Macaca fascicularis: one gene and its partner. The protein of the gene in region 1 binds, or shares a complex with, the protein of each later gene. Links are inferred from orthologs where the notes say so. Each region holds a gene or a part of one and is shown in the gene's direction. Other genes may lie near its edges. The genes, in order: MYBBP1A and DEK.

Evidence for each region.
Region 2: MYBBP1A (region 1) and DEK share a complex: the UniProt entries of both Homo sapiens proteins name them as parts of the B-WICH complex. The link is inferred for Macaca fascicularis from reciprocal best matches to the Homo sapiens genes MYBBP1A and DEK.

What each region holds. Positions count from the first base shown.
Region 1 is NC_088390.1:4,642,284-4,646,653, reverse strand, and holds the start of MYBBP1A (myb-binding protein 1A), read left to right. Parts: upstream 1-1,293; 5' UTR 1,294-1,353; coding exon 1,354-1,551; intron 1,552-1,719; coding exon 1,720-1,815; intron 1,816-2,956; coding exon 2,957-3,040; intron 3,041-3,139; coding exon 3,140-3,214; intron 3,215-3,315; coding exon 3,316-3,423; intron 3,424-4,370. UniProt on the Homo sapiens protein: May activate or repress transcription via interactions with sequence specific DNA-binding proteins. Repression may be mediated at least in part by histone deacetylase activity (HDAC activity).
Region 2 is NC_088378.1:154,648,103-154,652,390, forward strand, and holds the start of DEK (protein DEK), read left to right. Parts: upstream 1-1,318; 5' UTR 1,319-1,465; intron 1,466-1,804; 5' UTR 1,805-1,855; coding exon 1,856-2,000; intron 2,001-4,288. UniProt on the Homo sapiens protein: Involved in chromatin organization.

The sequences.
Region 1 (4,370 bases):
TTAGCCCTGACCTCCCCCCAGGGTTAGGTCCTCTCTGGACCACAGCCCTCTATACACAGCTTCTCAAACCAAGAAGCAACGGTGACCAGTAAGTAGCACTTCCCCTCCCCTGCCATTGTAAAAGGCTTCTCTGATTTAATAGACCGTTTGGTCCCACCACCTCCACCTCCCACTCCCAAGAAAATTCTTCTCCATAATGGCATCACAATGTACCCAGTTATTTAGGTCCCAAACCTGGCATCCCCCTCATTTCCTCTTCCCCGACATCCAAATCCATCACCCCCCCAACCTGCTCCACATTAGCCCAAATCTGACCTGTTCTCATTTTCCCTGGGTCCAGTTCACCAGTTTCTAAATGGTCTTCCCGTGCTTCCACCTGCGCAGACCTACAGTCCATCCCCCACACAGCAGCCAGCATCATCTTGTTAAAATGTAAATCAGATCCAAGCCTGACCCTGCATTAAACTCACCAGTGATTTCCCATCACCCTCAGAATGAAATCCTAGCCCGGGGCCCATGCAACCTTGCTTCTCGCCAGCCTCAGCCCCTCCAGCCCTGGACCTTTGTAAATCGCAAGGCTTGGGATTTCGTCCCCTTAGATACTTGCAGGAGTGCGGGGAAGGGGGGCCCTTCTTGTCACTCAGCTCTCATCCCAAAAGCCACTTCCTCACAGAGGCCTCCCCTGACCAACCCCTCAAATCATTATTGTAGACCCTATTTAATAGTAATTAGCCGTGTTTTTAACGGGTGATGTATTCACGTTCCAGCGTTTAAAAAGCTCCTGCAATTAGAATTGCATTCCTAATTCTCTTCATAATTATGATCCTTTTTAATGCATTTGGCTCCGTGTTCCTCCACGAGAGCAGCGGCTTTGTTCCGACCGCCTAGCACGGAACGCAGCAGGAGCCCAGTAATTGTTGAATGGCTCAACGTTCGGAGCGCAGGGGCCGATCGGGGACGAGGCGGATCGATGTGCTACACCTCGGTTTGTTTCCGAGATGGGCCCTCAGCAATGCCCCCAAGGGGCTCCAAAGGGGCAGATGCCACAGCCGCCAGGAAAGTACGGGTGTGAGCAGAAGGCTGGGAAAGACCACGCGCCGCTCAGCTAGGGACTTCCGCTCAGAGCTAAGGCGGAAACGCCGCTTTCCCTGGCCCCGCCCCTTCCCCGCCTTTCGGGGGGGTCATCCGCCCCGGCCCCGCCCCTCTCGGTGGCCCCGCCCCTCTTGGTTTCCCCGACCCTCCAGGTTCTTCCGCCTCCGCGCCGACACTACCGGTGCGCATGCGCCATGCCCTGACCTGGAAGCTGCTGGGCCCGGGGCACACGTGTTTTGTGTTTCGGTGAGTGTGGCGGGGATGGGGAGCAGGGAACTCGCCGAGCCGCTGTCTCCTGGAGAGGCGACGCAGAGTGGCGCCCGGCCTGCCGACCGCCATGGCCTATTGAAGCACAGCCGCGAGTTCTTAGACTTCTTCTGGGACATTGCGAAGCCTGAGCAGGAGACGCGACTTGCGGCCACGGAGAAGCTGCTGGAGTATCTGCGCGGCAGGCCGAAGGTGGAGTGGCGGGGTCTGGGGCAGGGGCCGCGCATATCCCGGCAAGGAAGAGGCGGCGGGCCAGGGATTTGGGACGGGGGGCACGTGGTCGCGAACCTAGATGCCAAGGTGCGCGGGGGCGTGCACCTTGTTTCACCATTGAACACGAGGGTGCGCTTGGTTCTGCAGGGGTCCGAGATGAAATATGCCCTGAAGCGCCTAATCACGGGACTCGGGGTTGCGCGAGAAACAGCCCGGCCGTGTTACAGTTTGGCCCTGGCACAGGTGAGGTGGTGCTCCTGGCAGGATCCCAGCCATCCAGGTCAAAACGGTGGGGTGTGAGGAGGGCAGGTGTGGTGTATCAGCTGCGGCGGAGGGGCAGCCCGAGAGAGAGGTAGGGAGTGGCAGAGTTGATTGGAGGCCAACCTGAGGGAGGTCTCCTTACATAAAGGTGGAGAAAGTGTGAGCAAGGCCTGGCCAGGTTTTCTATTTGGTGCTTGGGTTGCCCGGCCTCTTAGGTACACTTGCTGGGAGCAGTGCGCGCTGGGTGGGCTCCCTTAGGCCTGCAAAGGCATTCAGCTGATTGCAGTAGACCACCCTCTGAGGAGCCTTGACAAGGGGAAGAACAATAAAGACCCAGGCCTGCAGGATCAGCCTGAGGGGAGCTCAGACCAGGTGTGGAGAGAAGACCCAGTGGGTGAGAATTTCAGACGAGCAATCTAGGGGCTATAGAAGGTACTTTTGTGCTGGGCATTGTGGTTCATGCCTGTAATCTCAGCACTTTGGGAGGCTGAGGTGAGCGGATCACCTGAGGTCAGGAGTTCAAGACCAGCCTGGCCAACATGGTGAAGCCCCGTCTCTACTACAAATACAAAAATTAGCTGGACGTGGTGGCGTGTGCCTGTAATCCCAGCTATCCAGGAGGCTGAGGCAGCAGAATCACTGGAACCCAGGAGGCAGAGGCCGCAGTGAGCCGAGATCACGCCACTGTACTCCAGCCTGGGCCACAGGACAACACTCCATCTCAAAAAAAAAAAAAAAAAAGAAAAGAAAAAAAACAACAAAAATTAGCGGGGCGTAGTGGTGGGTGTCTGTAATCCCAGCTACTCAGGAGGCTGAGACAGGAGAATCGTTTGAACCCAGGAGGTGGAGGTTGCAGTGAACCGAGATCGCACCACTGCACTCCAGCCTGGGCAGCAGAGCGAGACTCCATCTCATAAAGTACTTTCAGAAGCCCTGGTGGAGACAGAGCAGGGGGATGAGACTTGGTTCCATGTGAGCAGCTCCAGAGGCGTCCTTGGGGTGGGACTAGGGACCTGAGGCTTCTTGGGAGAAGTTGAAAGGGGAAAGGAGGTTAAAGTTTGTGAAGATGTAGCTGGGCCACTCTCCTGAACCCCTCTTCCTCCTGCCACACAACTGCTGGCAGCTGTTACAGTCTTTCGAGGACCTCCCGTTGTGCAGCATCCTGCAGCAGATACAAGAAAAATATGACCTGTGTGAGGTGAAGAAGGTAAGTGGATCCAGGGACGTCAGCAGCCCCAGGGGTGGGAGGCTTGGGGAACGGGGAGTCCCAGGGCCCCTCATGCCTGTGCCTGGAATCCTTTTCTAGACAATGCTGAGACCTGCTCTCTTTGCAAACCTGTTCGGAGTACTCGCCCTCTTTCAGTCAGGCCGGCTGGTGAAGGTAAGAGCTTTGGAGGGGCTGGGGGAATGTAGGCTGACTTGGAATGGGTAGGGGACAGTAGTGTGCCCTGTTCATACCCTCTGTCGTTCCGTGGGGACCAGGACCAGGAGGCCCTGATGAAGTCCGTGAAGCTGCTGCAGGCCCTGGCCCAGTACCAGAACCACTTGCAGGAGCAGCCCGGGAAGGCCCTGCTGGACGTCCTCTCCGAGGTACGAGCTCACCCGCTGTGCGGGCTCGGCCAGCGCTTCCCGTTACAGAGACATCATCGGGGCTTGGATGAGAGTCTGGAACAGCATTGTTCCATAGAAATACAGAGATGTATAATTTGAAGTGTTTCAGTGACTTAGTCGAAAAGGTAAAAAGAAACAGGTGTCATTTAGTAACATTTTACTTCGTCTGGTATATCTAAAATATTACTGCAGTATGCATTGGTATAAAAAACCGTTGAGGTATCTTACATGCTTTTTTTTTTTTTTTTTTTTGAGACGGAGTCTCGCTCTGTCACCCAGGCTGGAGTGCAGTGGCACGATCTCAGCTCACTGCAAGCTCCGCCTCCCGGGTTCACACCATTCTCCTGCCTCAGCCTCCCGAGTAGCTGGGACTACAGGCGCCTGCCACCTCACCCAGCTAATTTTTTTTGTTTTTTAGTAGAGATGGGGTTTCACCGTGTTAGCCAGGATGGTCTCGATCTCCTGACCTTGTGATCCGCCCATCTCGGCCTCCCAAAGTACTGGCATTACAGGCGTGAGCCACCGGTCCCAGCCTCTTACACACTTTTTGTCAGGTAGTCTCCAGAATCCAGTGTGTATTTTACACTTAGGCACATCCCTGTTCAGATTGGCCACCTTTGAAGCGCTCAGCAGCCCCGTGTGGCTGTGACTACTGTATTGGGCAGTGCAACTCCAGAACTGTGCCTGGCGCGTCACAAATATATAAAACGTTTGCCTTGTTATCCTAGTCAAGGCTGGCCCCTCGTGGGCCTCCACTGCCCGACTTGGGAAGGTAGCACCTAGGCCCTTTTGCCACTGAAGAGAAAGGCAGGGGCTGGCAGGTCCCAGGCCGGGGCTTACTGTGCAGTCTTGACCTCAGAGCCGGAAGGACCTGAATTTGAATCCCAGCTCTCCACCCAGGGCTCCTTGTGTGTGAAATGAGCTAG
Region 2 (4,288 bases), on another chromosome or scaffold:
ACCCCCCTGCAGAAAGGCGCAACCCACTTCAGGTCTCCTGAGAAGTGTTCTGTCACTCGGTGAAGCTCCTGTCCACCTTGCTCACCCTCCAGTTGTTTGCGTGCCTCATTCTTCCTGGACACAGGACCAGAACTCAGGGACTGCCAAATGGTAGGACTGAGAGTTGTAACACAAATAGGGCTGAAACACAACCCCCCACTCCCAACCACATTTCAGGCAACAAGGAGAGACGAGCTGTAGAGTTTGGATAGGATTTGAGTGGAATCAATAGTGGGAAAAATGGTATACAATTTGAGGGTAGAAATGACACTGTTTGTGTATGTTTTGGAAGGGGAACAAAGGGAAAAGGGAAGATTCAAAGGAAATGTCAAATTTTTGTCCTGCAACCGGGAGTCCTAGCAAATTTCACTGATCCCATTTCCATTAAGTCCACTGAGTACAAGGATCCTTTGGGTGAGCTAGTGGTTGAAGATTTGGGAGAAAATGAAATCACATACAAAAGAAGGCAGCACTGAGCAGGGAAGATACTTCTTTGAGTGTCTGCAGTGTTGAATGTGTAAAAACATTTGCATAGATGGCCTAGAACTCAGGTAGAAGGGTCTGGACCGGCCAAATTACCTCTACTATAGAACAGTGTGTGAGAGAGGAGAGGGGAAGGAATGGGGTGGGAGGGAGCCATTCCCCTTATATTTACAGGGGTGTAAATCTATGTGGTTGGCTATGTGAACCTTTAACGTGGCAGGTAGGATCTTTTTCCTTACGGTAGACCTTACAAGCGATGGGGTCCTCAGAAATACAGCAGATTTGGAAATTATCTATCACCCAGCACGATTTCTGGGGCATTGATGAGACGGCTGATTAATACCCCTCCACCTCGGAGAAACACTGTAGATAGCGACTTCAGGGATCTCTCAACTTCTTCACCGATGCCCGCCGCGCCCCTCCGCGCCCGGGACTGCTCATCATCTTTTCCGGGAAGCGACGGTGAAGACAATAAACACGCAGGCCCCCTAGCGTCCTTCCGTTCCGCGCTGCCAGGCCGCCTCGCCTCCCGCTCCCGCCCGCCCCGCGGGACACAGCCCGCAAGCACTCCGGGGCCCGAGCGCCGACCGCACGCCAGGCGCAGCCGGGAAGAGCCCCGAGAGCGCATCCCTCTGCCCGCGGCCGAGGCGACCCCTCGCGGTCCCGCCCGCCCGGGCTTCCCGTGGAGGCGCCCGGCCACCCCGCCTCCCCCGCCCCGCGCCCGCCAACTCCCAGCTCGCGGCCCTGATTGGTCGCCGCATTCCCGCTCTCCTTCCCGAACCGCCATTTTGAAAATCTTGTTGATTCTGGGGAGCCGAGCGCGCGGCAGCGAGCGTCACGCCAGACAGCGGCCCGCGCGCCTTCTCCTCGGCGTCGGCCGCCGCCGCCTCCCAGAACCTCCTCGTGCCCTCGCGTGCCAGGCCCGTGGCGGCCGGGATCCGCGGTGAGGGCTGCGTCGGGACACCAGAGGCCCGGTCGCCCCTGCCGCGGCCGACGGGGGAGGGACGCGGCCATTTGGACGGCGGCCTGGGGCGGGGGAGGGGACGTGGAGGGCCGGCAGCTCGGGCCGGGCCGGGCCGGGAACAGCGCAGGCCGGGCGGGCGCGCGCGCGCGGGGGCGGCGGGCGCGGTTTCCCGCCTCGGGAATCCCTGGACGGCGGCGGGCGTAGCGGGAGGGAAGCCGCCCCTGGGGACTGAGCGCTACGGGAGGACGCAACTTTAAGGGCAGGTGTCCCGCGGGAAGGGTCGCATCCTTCAGGGTGGCCGCCGGGTCCTACCCGCAGGAGTAGGGGGACAGAGACGTCCGGCTTTCTCCCCGTACGAAGGTTCACAGCATGTCCGCCTCGGCCCCTGCTGCGGAGGGAGAGGGAACCCCCGCCCAGCCCGCATCCGAGAAAGAACCCGAAATGCCTGGTCCCAGAGAGGAGAGCGAGGAGGAAGAAGACGAGGACGACGACGAGGAGGAAGAGGAGGAAAAAGGTGGGGGGAGTCGCGTCCCAAGTGATGGATTTTTCAGACCGAAGTTTTTTTGTTTTTTTCCCCCAGGAAACAAGTTTTCTTGCTCTTTTCGTGCTTAGAGGCGTAAAGTCGGAGTAATTTTCAGCGAGAACGTGTGCACAATTTATCTGCTTTTGTGCTGAGCGATGGCGTAGAATTGACTTTGTGAATTCCGGTTTTTAAAGTATTTGTTACCGTAGTAGTGATGTATTGGAGTGCAGCCGACTTCTCGCCCGCTCTGAATGCTCGTTAACATTTCATCGTTTGACGGGAAGTTTGTCGGTCTTGGATTTGATTTTTTTTTTTAACTCCGTGTGTGCACCTTTGAAGTTGCTAAGTGGATGTTCTAATTTTGTCCGTTTCATGACACATCTTTTGCCTTTTGAAGTTATTGTAAGGTCTTAGTGCAGTCTGTTAAGACTGAAGTTATTAAGGCGAGACCTGTAAGTATTTGAATGCTTAAAAATATTTTTACATTTGCCAAAAAGTTTCCCTCCCTGGCAAACAGCGGTGAAAGCTGTTGCTACTTGAGAAAGTAGTTAAAAATGAAAAAAGTGAACTCTGAAAGAAAGTTAAATGTGAGCCCAGCACTGTCTCGGTTTCGAACCTGAGTCTGTTTTAAGGGAGGGCGTTATGAACCCTGATTTGACTGGAGATGTGAAACGGAAACTTAACAGAATGGAGGAGTGTGCCGCGTCAGTTTATCCAGGATGCATGCAGTGTCTGTTTCAGGTGTACCCGCTTCTTGACTGTTTCCAAACATTTAAAAATCCAAGTCGCGTCTCAGCATTCTTTGATATTAGCCTAGTCTGAATTTATTTCGTATAAGTCGCGTCTCTCAGCATTCTTTGATATTAGCCTAGTCTGGGTTTACTTCGTATATGTTTACGACTCAGGCACACTTGGGAAGAGGTTGAAGCTCTCTTCCTAAACCCGGATTTTTTTTTTTAAGCCTCAACCAGCCTGTGGTCACAATCTGGGTTAAGATTACAAGATGTGCCTTTTGTTTGTTTAAAGTGGTATGTGCCCTAAGAAGGGCATTTTTAAGTAAAGCATGGCTTTTTGAGTATAAGTTTTTATATAAACTATTGCTTAATAATATGTTATTTTAAAATTATTTTTAATACAACAGCAAAACTGGGTGCACTATCTCACTACTAGCCAAAGAGGCTCTGCACTTTTTCTCCAATTTTTTGTTTGTATTTTAGTCTTTTTGTGGGGGCAGGGTTGAGATGCCAAAGAAATGGTGAATTTTTTTCATGTCAGGAAAGAATTAGAGAAGTCATGTAAATATACTGTAAATGGCCAACGCAGTAATGCTTGGGGAACAGTTGGTAGTTGAAATAATCCCATGTTTTGTTCTAGACACATTATTTTTTAAAACATGATTTTGTAGAAAGTTTATCCCCTAACAGTTTTATTGTAGCTCTGATTTATTATTCTTTTTACTAATTTGAGGTGTTTGTGGGACATGTAGGATTGTGAAAGTTTTTATTCTACTTAACCCTGAATATTTTAACTTTAGAATTGAGGCATCATGGAAGCCAGACAGTGAAATACTTTCTGTATTAGGGTTTTTTTCTTTTTTTTTGCGTTGCTATAAAGAAATACTTGAGGCTGGGTAATTTATGGAAAATAGGTTTAATTGGTTCGTGGTTCTGCAGACGGTACAAGAAGCATGGCGCCAGCATCTGCTTCTGGTGAAAGCCTCAGGAAACTTCCAGTCATGGCAGAAGACAAAGGGGGAGCCGGCATCTCATTTGGAAGTTGGAGCAAGTGGTAGGGGGAGGTGCCACGCTCTTTTAAACAAATCTTGAGAGAACTCACTTATCACTAAGAGTTACCATGCTAAGCCATTCATGAGGGATCTGCCCCCATGATTTAATCACCTTACCAGACCTCACCTCCAACATTGCAAATCACTTTTCAACATGAAATTTGGAGGGGGCAAACATCCAAAGCATACCATTGCACCCCCAGTCCCCCAAATCTCATGTCTTTCTCACATTTCAAGATTCAGTTGTGCCTTCGCAGTAGTCCCCCAAAGTCCAGTCTTGTTTCAGCATTAACTCAAAAGTCCCAAGTCTGTAAGTCCAGAGTTTCATCTGAACATGAGTTTCTTCCACCTATGAGCCGGTGAGATCAAAAACAAGTTATTTACTCACAGGATACAGTGATGGTACAGGCATTGGGTAAAATTTCCATTCCAAAAGGGAGAAAGGCCAAAAGAAAGGTGCAGTAGGCCCCACACAGTCTGGTTTGGCTTATGT